Macaca mulatta: one gene and its partners. The protein of the gene in region 2 interacts with the protein of the main gene of each other region in a pairwise test. Links are inferred from orthologs where the notes say so. Each region holds a gene or a part of one and is shown on either strand. Other genes may lie near its edges. The genes, in order: ZDHHC22, TRIM59 and NRM.

Region 1 (3,646 bases), on a different chromosome or scaffold from region 2:
TTGCCAGTGCCTGGAAGAGGCTGGGAACGTAGTTGGCATTCAGTAAATATATGTAGGATGGATGAATGAATGAATGAATATGGGAGGGAGAAGTATGAGCAGGTCGAGTACTACATTAGCTGTCTAGGGGGCGTGAAGGCAGAACCACAGTAAAGTCCTCCCAGTCTCTGCTCAAGAACCCAGGGTGTTGTGCAGCTATCAGCAGATCCCTGTGGTCGGCGGTTGGGCATTGCAGGGCGTGGATTCAGCACTACTGCCTGCATGGATGTCATACTGGCTTTGGGACCCAGTCAGGAGGGGGCACTTGTGTTGTCCCTCCTCCCTTATATGCCCCAGGGGTCTGGTCCTCTGGGTTTCAGAAAACACACAGTAGTGCCTCCACTGGAGTCAGTCAGATGCGCAGGGATGGTCTGGGAATTGCACCCTTATATTCCGGTCATCTCCACTCCCCAGCCTTAACTCACCACTGCCCCCCATGCCCTGCCACTGACAATGACACGGCTCCATCTCCCTGTCCTCAAATGTCAGTCCCCGCAACCACCCAGGTAGCCCTGTCTCTGCATAGACTCTCTCTTCAGTGGCTGGGTTGGGTACTGATCTTCAGACCCCTCCCATGCCCACACTCCCCTCCAGGAAAGCAAATATCTCACAGGCATCTCCGCAGATCTTGCCTCTGGGTCCAGCAGTCACAACCAGGACACCAGAACCTTGGGGTTGGAAGGAATGTGTAAGCTCACCTAGAATGACCCTGTGCAGAAATCTCTTCCACAGCATGCCGGCAGACGATTGCCTAGACTCTGCTGGAATACCTCTAGTGATGGGGCACTCACTACCTTCACAGGCAGCCGTTCAAACACTGAAAAGTTTCAGCTGCTGGAATGCCCTTTGTATAGGGCATAAATGAACCCAATTGTCCCTCTCACTTCTCCCTTTCCCCTAGGCATTATTCCTATATGTTTCTAACAACACTTCTCACCACCATCCATCTCTCTCTCTCTCTCTCTCTCTCACACACACACACACACACACACACACACACACACACACACACACACACACACACAGAGTTCCATATGGTTATACAGTCGAATACCCCCTTCCTTTATCAGTAATTCTCTTTCCCTGTCCCTTCTTCCTTGCCTTCCCATCATCTGGCAAAGACCTGGGGGCTGGAGATCAAGTAGAAAGGCTGGAAGAGTTCCAGGGAGACGAAGCATCCAGCCAGGTCCTGGACTGGGCTGGGCTGGCCAGATGGGGCAGGATGGACAGGGAATAGCATTTGGAAAAAGCAGGCCATTGACTTCTGTCTCCCAGAGAAAGGGTCTTGAACCTGGAGGGTGGGGTGAGGGAGCAGCAAGCTACTGAGTTCTTTTTCCTACAGAGGGGATGCAGACACACACCCACTCTTTCCCAACTCCCCTAGCTGTTGGCAGAGCTGACTTGGCTGCCTCTTACACATGGTGATTTTAAACATTTGCCAGCCTCTAGGTCCCAGGGAGTTTCATACCAGCAGCAAGAATCCACTCCCCTCTCCCAACATGGAGGCTGAGAGGAAGGGCTCTAGCAGACAGCAGTGATGAATGAGACCTGGTGGAGAATGGATGAGCCAGGAAGAGGGGGAAAGCAGGGATCCCAAGGGGAAGGAACGAAAGCAGAGGCAGTCTAACGGCTAGCAGCCACCTGGCTGGCTCGTGAGGAGCCTAGAAATGCCTGGGGGGACGTTTTTCCTCCTTGTCATAATCCACCAGCCCACACTGTTCTCATGGGTGGAAGGCGGGGGGAAGATGCTAGGACCTTACCAGCACAAGGTTGTAGTGGGTCATGGGTGGAGACAAGGCTGCCATGGTTTTATGCTCAGGAGGAGTCAAGACAGAGAGAGAGAGAGATAAATGACGGGAGTGTCTGCTACTTATCCTGCTGCTTGGAGCTCTCACTTCCGACATTGAACATGGGGACCAGCAGGCCCAGCAGCCACCTCTTTCCGAAGACCTCTTGTAGGTTCTTGCGCCAGGGCCGGGCCCTCACTGCCACCCCCTTCCGCACCTGGTGGCGGGTCTGCCCGCGGAGGATCAACAGCAGCTGGTGGCAGCAGAAGCCAGCGCAGGCCAGGCCGATGGCGAACCAGAGGTAGAGCATGAGGATGACGAACATTTCAGAACCCAGGACAGCTCCTGCAGGGCAACGGGAGGGGAAACACCAGAGCCGCTTTACACCCAGGCCACCTGCAGAACTGTGATCTAGGCAGGCTTTCCACTGGGAGGGAGGGAGATTAATGAGATTGACACTACATTTTGTAGCAACCTCAGCGCTGCAGCTGCAGTGAGGGAGAGGAAGGAAGAACCAGCTGCCCTAACTTTTTCTTGGTGCAGATGGCACCTGAGGCAAGAGGGGAAAACTGGAGACCTGGCGAAAACAGCTAAGTTTGATGAGCTTAGCAAGGAGAGCCCTCAGCTCCTGGGGCAGCATCTGGCCGCTGATAACATTTCTGTAGAGTCGGAGATGCCTGTCTTTCTCTGTTTTCTCCTTTTGGGCTGGAAGCAGGGTGAAGGGGTTTTGCTCAGGAGGAGAGAGGGGTGAGCTGAGGACCCTAAAGAGGGAGCGGGTGTCTGGGCAGATGTCTAGACCGCAGCACCTTCTCTATACTGTCCTGGGAGCGCTAGTTGAGAGGACTCAGGAAAATGACAGCATGATGGAGAACTGGGAAGAATAAGTCATGAGCTTAGTCTCAAGAGCAGCCCAGAGCACCAACGTAGAGAATAATTCAGTCATTAATGTTAACAAGAGGACAGTGTGGCCACCACAGCATTCCACCAGAGCTGGTTCTGTCAATCAAATCTTGCTAAAAGAGGCCCCCAAGGTCATTGGCCCTGTGTCGTGGGGCAGGATCTCCCCAGAATCCCTCTAAACCAAGCACTTCCTCTTACTGGTTTGAAATAATCACTGAGTAACAGCTCCCACACTCTTCCTCAGAGTTTGGATGGCTGGTCCATGCTAGGTTTGAGTCTCCCAGCTGTGTGGACTTACACAAGTGTCCCAACCTCTCAGTTGAAGTTCACTCATCTGTACAATGGGTACAATAATACTAACGATTTCATTCAGCTGCATGATTCAAGAAAATGATGTACAGAGTGGTCAGCATCCCCGTTCACACTCACTGTGGTGCTCCCAGCAGAGGGTCATGTTTACAGAGCAGGAGACTACATCCAAAATGAGTTCAAGTTTAACTCCTGAAACTATCAAGCTTTCTCCTTCTCCTTTTCAGGGCTTAGAGTCCTGGCTGGGCTGCAACTTTGGCAGCTGTGGCAAAGACACTTACATTGATCTGCCCAGCAGCCAGGGCACTGGACCCTGGAGTTAATTCGAAAGTCCTCCTTAGCCCTTGGCTCCCTGTAGGGCAACCCTATCACCTCCTCTGGTGGGGTGGGGGTATCTCCTCTAAGGACTCCACCTTACAACCTATTCTGCCCCTGAAAATCTCAACCATATTTTGCCCTTTCCCTCGCCTTCTCTTGCCCCAGCCCACCTCTTCCCAAGTCTCTCCAGCCTCCAATTTCCAAAGTCCTGGGAACTGGTCTTTCAACACTTGTCCAGTATGAGCAGTGGTGGACTCAGCAGTCAGGGAGGATGTGGATCTGATTCAGATTCT
Region 2 (3,746 bases):
AAATCTGAGGCTAAATCACTCTACTGACAAATTATTTCACTAACATCTTGTGTTTAAGTGTCAAAACAAATACATTTCTGAATTTCCACACTTTTTATTAAGTCTTTCTCCAGAGGACCAATTCACTAGGGAGCCTCCCTGATGTCTAACTGGCATATTAGGTAATAGATAGTATAACAGATGATAAAATAGCACCAAAAATATCATTACCCATTCTCTTGTGTAAACCAGTTTTTAAGCTTTAATTCACTAATGCTTTCCTGCCTTTCAACTCTAAACATGAACAGTTGTAAAACATTCATTACATTTCACAGCCTCTGAAACGAAAATATTTTTACTACATTATAGAATTCGATGACTTGCCCCATGACTTCTAGTGAGTCAGCTTTAAGTATAGAAAAATTCAAGTGGTGCCACCACCCAAATTGGGGCTCACATCTTTGTGGCCCTAACTGATAAAGAAGAAATACATTTCATGCAATCGAAGACTTACTTAAGAAATAACTACAACTTCATCATTTATATACATATATAAGATTTTTTTTTTTTTAACACTGTTGCGGAAAGTTTGAGAAACAAGATTTTTAAAAATAATTCTGCCACATATAAATATACAAAAATAATGAGAGATCACCTTAACTTTTTCAAATTAAAAAAAAAATCCTATGGTCAGCTGATTTTAACTCTCTTTGTCCATCTGTACTATTTTATTTCATTTTGATATCAACCTGTTTTCCTAAACTAAAAAAATAAAAAAACTAAAAACAAAACAAAAAAAGACTTAATTCAATTTAACCAGGAACTGACTTGAGAAGTTAAGGCTTTAATTACTTTTGTTATACTTTTCAAAGTAAAAATATATCTGGTGGGAAATAGTCATCAACGTGTTTGGTGAAAGGCAATGTCAAAACTAACATTACCTAAAATCAAAATTTCACCTTGCCAGATTAAATAGCTACTTACTCATTTAAAAAGACCAATATATGAATGCATAGTGAAGAAGTATCCAGGTAACTTAATTTGCAGTTTTGTGTAGTTCTGCAGATCTGTATGTCTAAAATAACAGCTTTGCATGTGTTTTGAGATGTACACATTCTTGTAAAATTTCTAGAAGGATGTACGAAAGAGTTGAGTGACTACCTTTAAGGTACAGATCGGAAAAGGAAGCTGTTTTTCACTTTATGCTCCGCTCCTTCGGTAAGATGGTTGGAATTTGATACACCATCAACATAATGTTTTTTCAAAAGACTTCTAAATTTCACTTTATAGTTTAAATGATACACTCTGGAAAAACTCAGTTAAAATGTTTTTCATATTTACTTAATCTCCCAGAACTTACCTACTTTGTTGATCTCCTGGTTTGGGGACTGAATACACTCTCTCCAACTCCTCCAGAATCTTTTATTCTTATTCTAAAATTAAAATAATGTTATCCTTAATGCTTTCAATTTATTGTCTCATGTCATAAAAATGGTTGTTAGTTCACTGTCTTTGATGTTTATCTTCACTATGCTTCACTGTGTTTTCCAAAAAGTCACAAACACCAACACAGTTGCTGGAGCTGCAGTAGAGGTATCGCTTGTTCCTTGAAAATCCGAACTCTGACCAAACAGATGGTCACAAAGGACCTCTTTACAACGTCAAGTAGCTTATGAGCTCTCGACAATATGACCCACCAACGGCGATGGCAGAAAAAACATTCACGGTCATTTAGAGTGCTTAAAATTAACTGCAAGACAAAAGCATCCATGGGAGTAAAATACTTTGCCAGCTCAAAATTGTAACTGATTTAGTATAGTTTGCTCATCTCTCTGTTCTGCCATTTCAATGCTGTGGTACCTGAGTCAGTATTATCAAATATCTCTCAAAAGTGAGGCTTCACATCTGTAAAATGGGTAACTGCACCTATCCCACCTAAGTCCTACGAGCACCTCCCACAAAGGGGCTCAAAATGGCAGTACTCTTCCCCTCCCCCTCTGAAAGCTCCACTCTCCCAGGCCTCCCTCCTAAAGCGCCTCCGCCTCCGCAACCGCCCGACCCCAAGCCCCGCGGGGCTGACCGACTCGGCCTGGCCCAGCTCACCCTGGCCACCACAGAGCGCCTCCTCCCTCACAGGAACGCAGCTCCACAGTGGAGAGACGGGAGAATGGTTCCCCAAACTCCAGTGTGGGACAAGTGGGAATGAATGCAGGTCCCAAGCCACTCCCTCCATCGTCACGCCCCCAGGACTCCCCAGCAAACACACTGGAACACCAGCCTGTGCTACAGGAAAAGAAAAAGGACTCAGAGCCACCTTCTCGGATCCGTAAAGGTCCTTAGACTCACCGCGGGGAGGAGGCGGAGTAGGCGACTCCACAGCGCCGAAACAGAGAGCCACCGGCTCCTGGCTGATGCTGAGAGTCGCCCCGAGTCCCCGCCCTCCTCCGCCCCGAAGGGCTTCAGGTGCCCAGGCCGGGCGGGGCCGCCCGGAGCCTCGCGGCGCAGGCGCAGTCTGCAGGCAGCTTTCAACTGCGCGGCATCGGCCAATGGGAACTATTGCTGGGCTCGTTCGAAAGTAAACGGCGGACGGCGCGGCTCGAGGCAGGTGGCGGCGGTCAGATCGAGGCTGGCGCCTAGCTTTCCACGCCTGCGTGCTAGGCGCAGGCCGCCTCTCGGACGTTTGGCCTCGAAGGAGCGGCTCTCTAGCCTGTGGGGAGCTTCGGCCAGTGGGCTTCGTGAGCTGGGGTCCCGCCTGGGGCATCTGGATGGCACCGGTAGTCTGGGGGAGAGGCGGGGTCTGGCGCGGGAGGAGGCGAATCGCCGGCGGCCGACGGCTTCTGGGGAACTGTCTTTTACTTGGAGCCATCCAGGGCAGGGCCTGCTGCTATGCTGTGGAATGCAGTGTCTTCCATCGTTGCCACACAGACCCGCTGCTCCGGGAAGTCGCCACGCATCCTCAGGGCACACCCACACCTGTCGCCAGCGCCCTCCGCCGCTCAGCTGTTTGCTTTTGTTTACGCGTTCCGGAGACCTGACCCACCGGAGCACTGGGCTGAGCACAGGAGAAGGGGTTTTGGAACACTCTTTGTACCCAACTCCGAGAGCGAGTGGGAAACCCGGGACTGGGTTGGGTGCATCTCTCCCTAGCCTTCGTCGTCTTCTCCCGTTTTTCCACTTTACTAAAGTATTGCCTAGAGATGAGGGCTGTCCAACTCAGCACTTCCAACTTCAGGTTCCTACTTCACCTCTAACTCCCTAGAGTTAGAAAACAACTTACAGCTCAGAGGTCTCTTTCCCTTTTTTCTTGAGAAACTTTATTCAGCTTTATCTCAAGACATCTCCGCTTCCCTCTCCTGTCGACCTTAAATAGGTTCAGGAAATATGATTAAGGATAAGAGTTTATTCCAGCGTAAAGCTTGAGGGTAGCCACCCAGGAGACACCAGCTCCAAATGGGGTCAGCATTCCAAAGTGAAGAAGTTAAGGTTTCACCTAGGTGGCCAGAGACAAATTTTAGCAGGATTTCATTTTCCGTAAGAGACCAGTACATACTTACAGCTATTTGGTAGGTTACAGATTGCTACATTCCAAGAAAGAGTACTTCGTTACTCCGTGAGGACGGGTAGTGATCTCAGGGGGTTGTATCTCTGGTATGGTTTGCTCCTCCGATTTTAATTATTTACAGAAACAAAAGGCAGACGGTGCAGATGCCTGCTGCTTGGCTCAGGCTGTAGCCACATTCCTCTCAAGGCTCAGAATAAAGTTCCAA
Region 3 (3,746 bases), on a different chromosome or scaffold from region 2:
GTGGAGTTTTCTTTGTAGTTGGGCCCGGAGGTAGCGGAGGTCTTGCTGATCAAGCCCATGAGCCAGGCCCAGGTAGAGGGTAAGGAGGAGAGCAAGGAGGAGACGGTCCATGCCCAGGGTAGGCACCACCCACAGCACTGTCAGCAGCTCCACACACACTGGGTGGCGCAGGTGAGAGAAAAGTCTGAGAGCCCGGGGAGACTTCAGGGCCAGAGGCTCGCCCAGCCCCAGCACATGGTAGTATACCTAAGAGGGAGAAGAGTTTAGAAATTGAGTCAAGCCCTTTTCTCAGCTTGGGCGCTTCTTTCCTCCTCTTCCAGGCACCAGCCTTCTAGAACTCAGGCCCAGGAACCCCTCTTCTGAGACTTGGATCCCTGATCCTGACTTATGATCCATGTACCTTCCCCAGGCCCAGGAGGCCCATGGTTGCTGTCCTTCTGAGGGAAGGGTCATGAGGGAGAATCAAGGAGACAGTAGAAGAGCATGGGAGGAGGGAAACCCTTGAAAGGGAAAGAGTAGTTCTAAAACGGGTCAGAGGTCGTAGGTAGGGATCTCAGAGCCTCACCTGTTTGAGGCCCATGAGCTCAGCATAGTCAAAGACGAGAAGGATGCTGAAGATGAGAAGCCAGGAGATGACATGGAGCACAAAGCACAGGAGGGGCACCCAGGTGGCCCATGGCTCAGCCTGAGCTTCCCACAACACGGGGCCTCGGGGTACGGGCTCCCAGTACCGCATCACCAGCTGTGGAAGGATAAGGGGCTTCGTATCCCAGTGCCCTACCCTGCCCGACCTTGGGAGACCCGGATCCAGAGCTGCCCCCACCACAGGCTAGCCTGCAACTCTCCCCCACCTCTCACCTAAGCATCACCACCAAATATTCACCATGTGGAGGGTGCATGCTGGGTGAGGTCCCAAAGATGTAAGGATGGCCTGTCTCCACCCTGAGAATTTACAGAACAGATGGGGTGACCTGATAGCTACACAAAGTAGTAGCCTATGCCAACCACCCAATGAGAAGACAGACAAGGCCTCTTCAGACCTAGGGAAGTGGTTTTGAAGAAAGGGTAGGACTGAAGAGAAGGAAGGGATCTCAAGCAGGACATGAACAAAGTTGCAAAGGTGAGAATGCACGTATTGTGCTTGGGGAAGGACAAGTACACCCTTCTTGATAAAAACTAGGGTATGTGCTGTGGAGGAATGGAAGCTGAGATTAGTTCCTCAGTTCTCCTCCTGAACCCATATTTTGCCCCTCCAATCCAGGGCACCCCTCCCACACTTGGTCTCCCTTAGGGACTTCATACCTGCAAGGCCAGGGCCTCATACCTGCAAGGCCAGGGCAGTGCAGGCCACATACAGTGACCTCTGAAGGACCCCAAAGTACCGGGATGTCCATGCCTTCACTCTTTCAGCTGCCATGAGGCTGTGCTGCCCAACAAATAGAAGTAGGAGTCCCAGATCCCATGCCAGGGGGGCAAGGATGCTGCGGTCCTGCAGGGCAGCCAGCCATCCCTGGCGGGCATCTACAGGAAGTTGAGGGAGAAAGAGACAAAAGATCGAAAAGGTGGCAAATGTTTCCCCCATCCTCATCTCCTTTTGGAGCCCCAGGCCATGTCCCTACTGCTTTCAAGAGCCTTAATGCTTCCTCTCTAGGCTGTGCCCATCTCACTTTTCCATTCCTAGTTTCTGCCCTCTTCCCTAGGCCTCCTGCAAACCTAGGGGAGAGGATTTATAGAACAACGCATGTTAGGCAGTTGCAAAAAGCATGGCTGGAGAGGCCACCGCTGGATTGCCCCTCTTATTTCGGTTCTCCAAATGCTCCTTCTTTTTAACACTCTCAACAGCCCTCTCTACAAAACATTTTACTTAGAATACTCTGGTTATCGCCCTTTTCGGCTCCCTCAGTCCTCACTCTCCCACCTCTCCAAAACTGTAATCCTTGAGTTCCTAATTTAGAACTCAGGTCTCCCTCCCCTGTAGCTTCTCGGCCGCTTTCAAGATTCGAGTTCCCTCTCTGGGACTTCCCCTGTCATTTGTTTCCAAGCCCCGCCCTCGATCCCTCTCCTACGGCTCCACCTTCCTACTCCCAGTTCATCCCCGATCCCTCCCGCTCACCCGGACCACCAGACTCCGGGATCCCTCCAAGAAGTGGCCGAAGGGAGGTAAAGCGCACGAACTCCACTCCGGTACCAAAGGCCAGGATGAAAGAGGCGAGGGCAGCAGGGACCAGGAGCAGTGCAGGGGCCATGGCGAGAAATGGAGGGGTGGGGAAAGGGGCGGGGTCGGGATTCCCGCTGCCTCAGGCCCCGCCCCCGCCCGAATCCAGCCCAGGAAGGCGGGGCTCCTGCACGCCACCGCCCGGCTTCCGGCCCGCCGGGCGCAGCCTTCCCCACCCAGCTGTGGATCCGTCCCGGGATGCGTGTCCCAGCCTGCGGTCTCTCCGTCACGGAAGGGAATGTTAGAATCCCGAGAGAGAGCTGTTAAGGGTAGCGGCTCTGCAGCCGCTTACGTGGGTTAAATCTCAGCTCGTCTAGTTTAACCATCCAAAATTAAAAGTTACTATTTTACCACAAAATACATTAATGTATGGAATACATTGTACAGAATACACTGTACAGAATAAATTCTGTAACTTACTATAAAGTTGAGTTGTTGATTGGCTAGTTGCTAAGAAGGGCAGATAACTTCTCTGTAAATACTGAAAGGTTTGTTGTAATAGTGCCAGAGATTGCTGATTTGTAACCACGAGAGTAAAAATGTTAAAATGTTTGTGATAGTAACCTTTGTCAGAATTAAAGATCATGCAGCTAAGGACCTTGTCGCAGTAGCTGTGCACATAGTAGGGACCTTAGATATCATTAGACTAATTCCATCAACTTATAGATAGAATAAACAGGTCCAGAGAGATAATTGCCTGTTAGGAAGCTGCTAATCCTGTAGGCTAAGGGACCAGAAAACTGCTGAGCAGCCTCTCGCAGGCTTTACATTCCTTCTCCCTCTCCTGGGCTCAGTACTCCCACCCTCCTCTGAATGAATGCTGTTGTATGCTGTACCAGACATCATATGTTTTCCCTTGAATTCAGTCTCCACCCTGCTTTCTGCTTCAGGAAGTTGTCCCAAATGGACGGTATCAATGAAAGTCACAGTTTTTATTGAGAAAGTCCTCTTTACACGACTGCTCCACCCTCATCTTTTTGAGCTTGGAGGTGATCACAATAGAGCTGTGGGTACTAAGGCACTGCACTATGCTTTCTGATTTCCCTACACCCTGCCTACTTCTTTGTAATTATCATTTTATTAAACTCTTCCCCAAATTATCCTAATTTGACTGTGCTATTCATTTCCTGCTAGGACCACAAATAGAGACACTTACCACACAAAGCAATGTGCTACAAGCTGTGGGGTTCATTGGAAGTGTAAGAGGCCAGACGCAGTGGCTTACACCTGTAATCCCAGCACTTTGGAATCGCTTGAACCCGGGAGGTGGGAGTTGTGATAAGCTGAGATCTCGCCACTGGACTCCAGCCTGGGTGACAGAGTAAAACTCTGTCTCAAACAAAAAAAAAAAAAAAAAAAAAGGAGGCTGGATGCAGTGGCTCACGCCTGTAATTCCAGCACTATGGGAGGCCTAGGCGGGTGGATTACAAGGTCAGGGGTTCGAGACCAGCCTGACAAACATGGTGAAACCCTGTCTCTACTAAAAATACAAAAATTAACTGGGTGTGGTGGCACACGCCTGTAGTCCCAG

The links.
Region 1: the proteins of TRIM59 (region 2) and ZDHHC22 interact in binary tests that used the Homo sapiens proteins (3 or more experiments, as listed by UniProt). The link is inferred for Macaca mulatta from reciprocal best matches to the Homo sapiens genes TRIM59 and ZDHHC22.
Region 3: the proteins of TRIM59 (region 2) and NRM interact in binary tests that used the Homo sapiens proteins (3 or more experiments, as listed by UniProt). The two-hybrid records come from large-scale screens. The link is inferred for Macaca mulatta from reciprocal best matches to the Homo sapiens genes TRIM59 and NRM.

The regions. Positions count from the first base shown.
Region 1 is NC_133412.1:150,341,353-150,344,998, forward strand, and holds part of ZDHHC22 (palmitoyltransferase ZDHHC22), read right to left. Parts: intron 2,172-3,646; coding exon 1,906-2,171; 3' UTR 1-1,905. UniProt on the Homo sapiens protein: Palmitoyltransferase that could catalyze the addition of palmitate onto various protein substrates and be involved in a variety of cellular processes. Catalyzes the palmitoylation of KCNMA1, regulating localization of KCNMA1 to the plasma membrane.
Region 2 is NC_133407.1:63,617,010-63,620,755, forward strand, and holds the start of TRIM59 (tripartite motif-containing protein 59), read right to left. Parts: upstream 2,413-3,746; 5' UTR 2,326-2,412; intron 2,149-2,325; exon of another isoform or gene 2,083-2,148; intron 1,413-2,082; 5' UTR 1,340-1,412; intron 1-1,339. UniProt on the Homo sapiens protein: E3 ubiquitin ligase involved in different processes such as development and immune response. Serves as a negative regulator for innate immune signaling pathways by suppressing RLR-induced activation of IRF3/7 and NF-kappa-B via interaction with adapter ECSIT.
Region 3 is NC_133409.1:152,354,322-152,358,067, reverse strand, and holds the start of NRM (nurim), read right to left. Parts: upstream 2,247-3,746; coding exon 2,114-2,246; intron 1,522-2,113; coding exon 1,325-1,521; coding exon of another isoform or gene 1,319-1,324; exon of another isoform or gene 1,303-1,318; intron 761-1,302; coding exon of another isoform or gene 743-760; coding exon 566-742; intron 247-565; coding exon 1-246.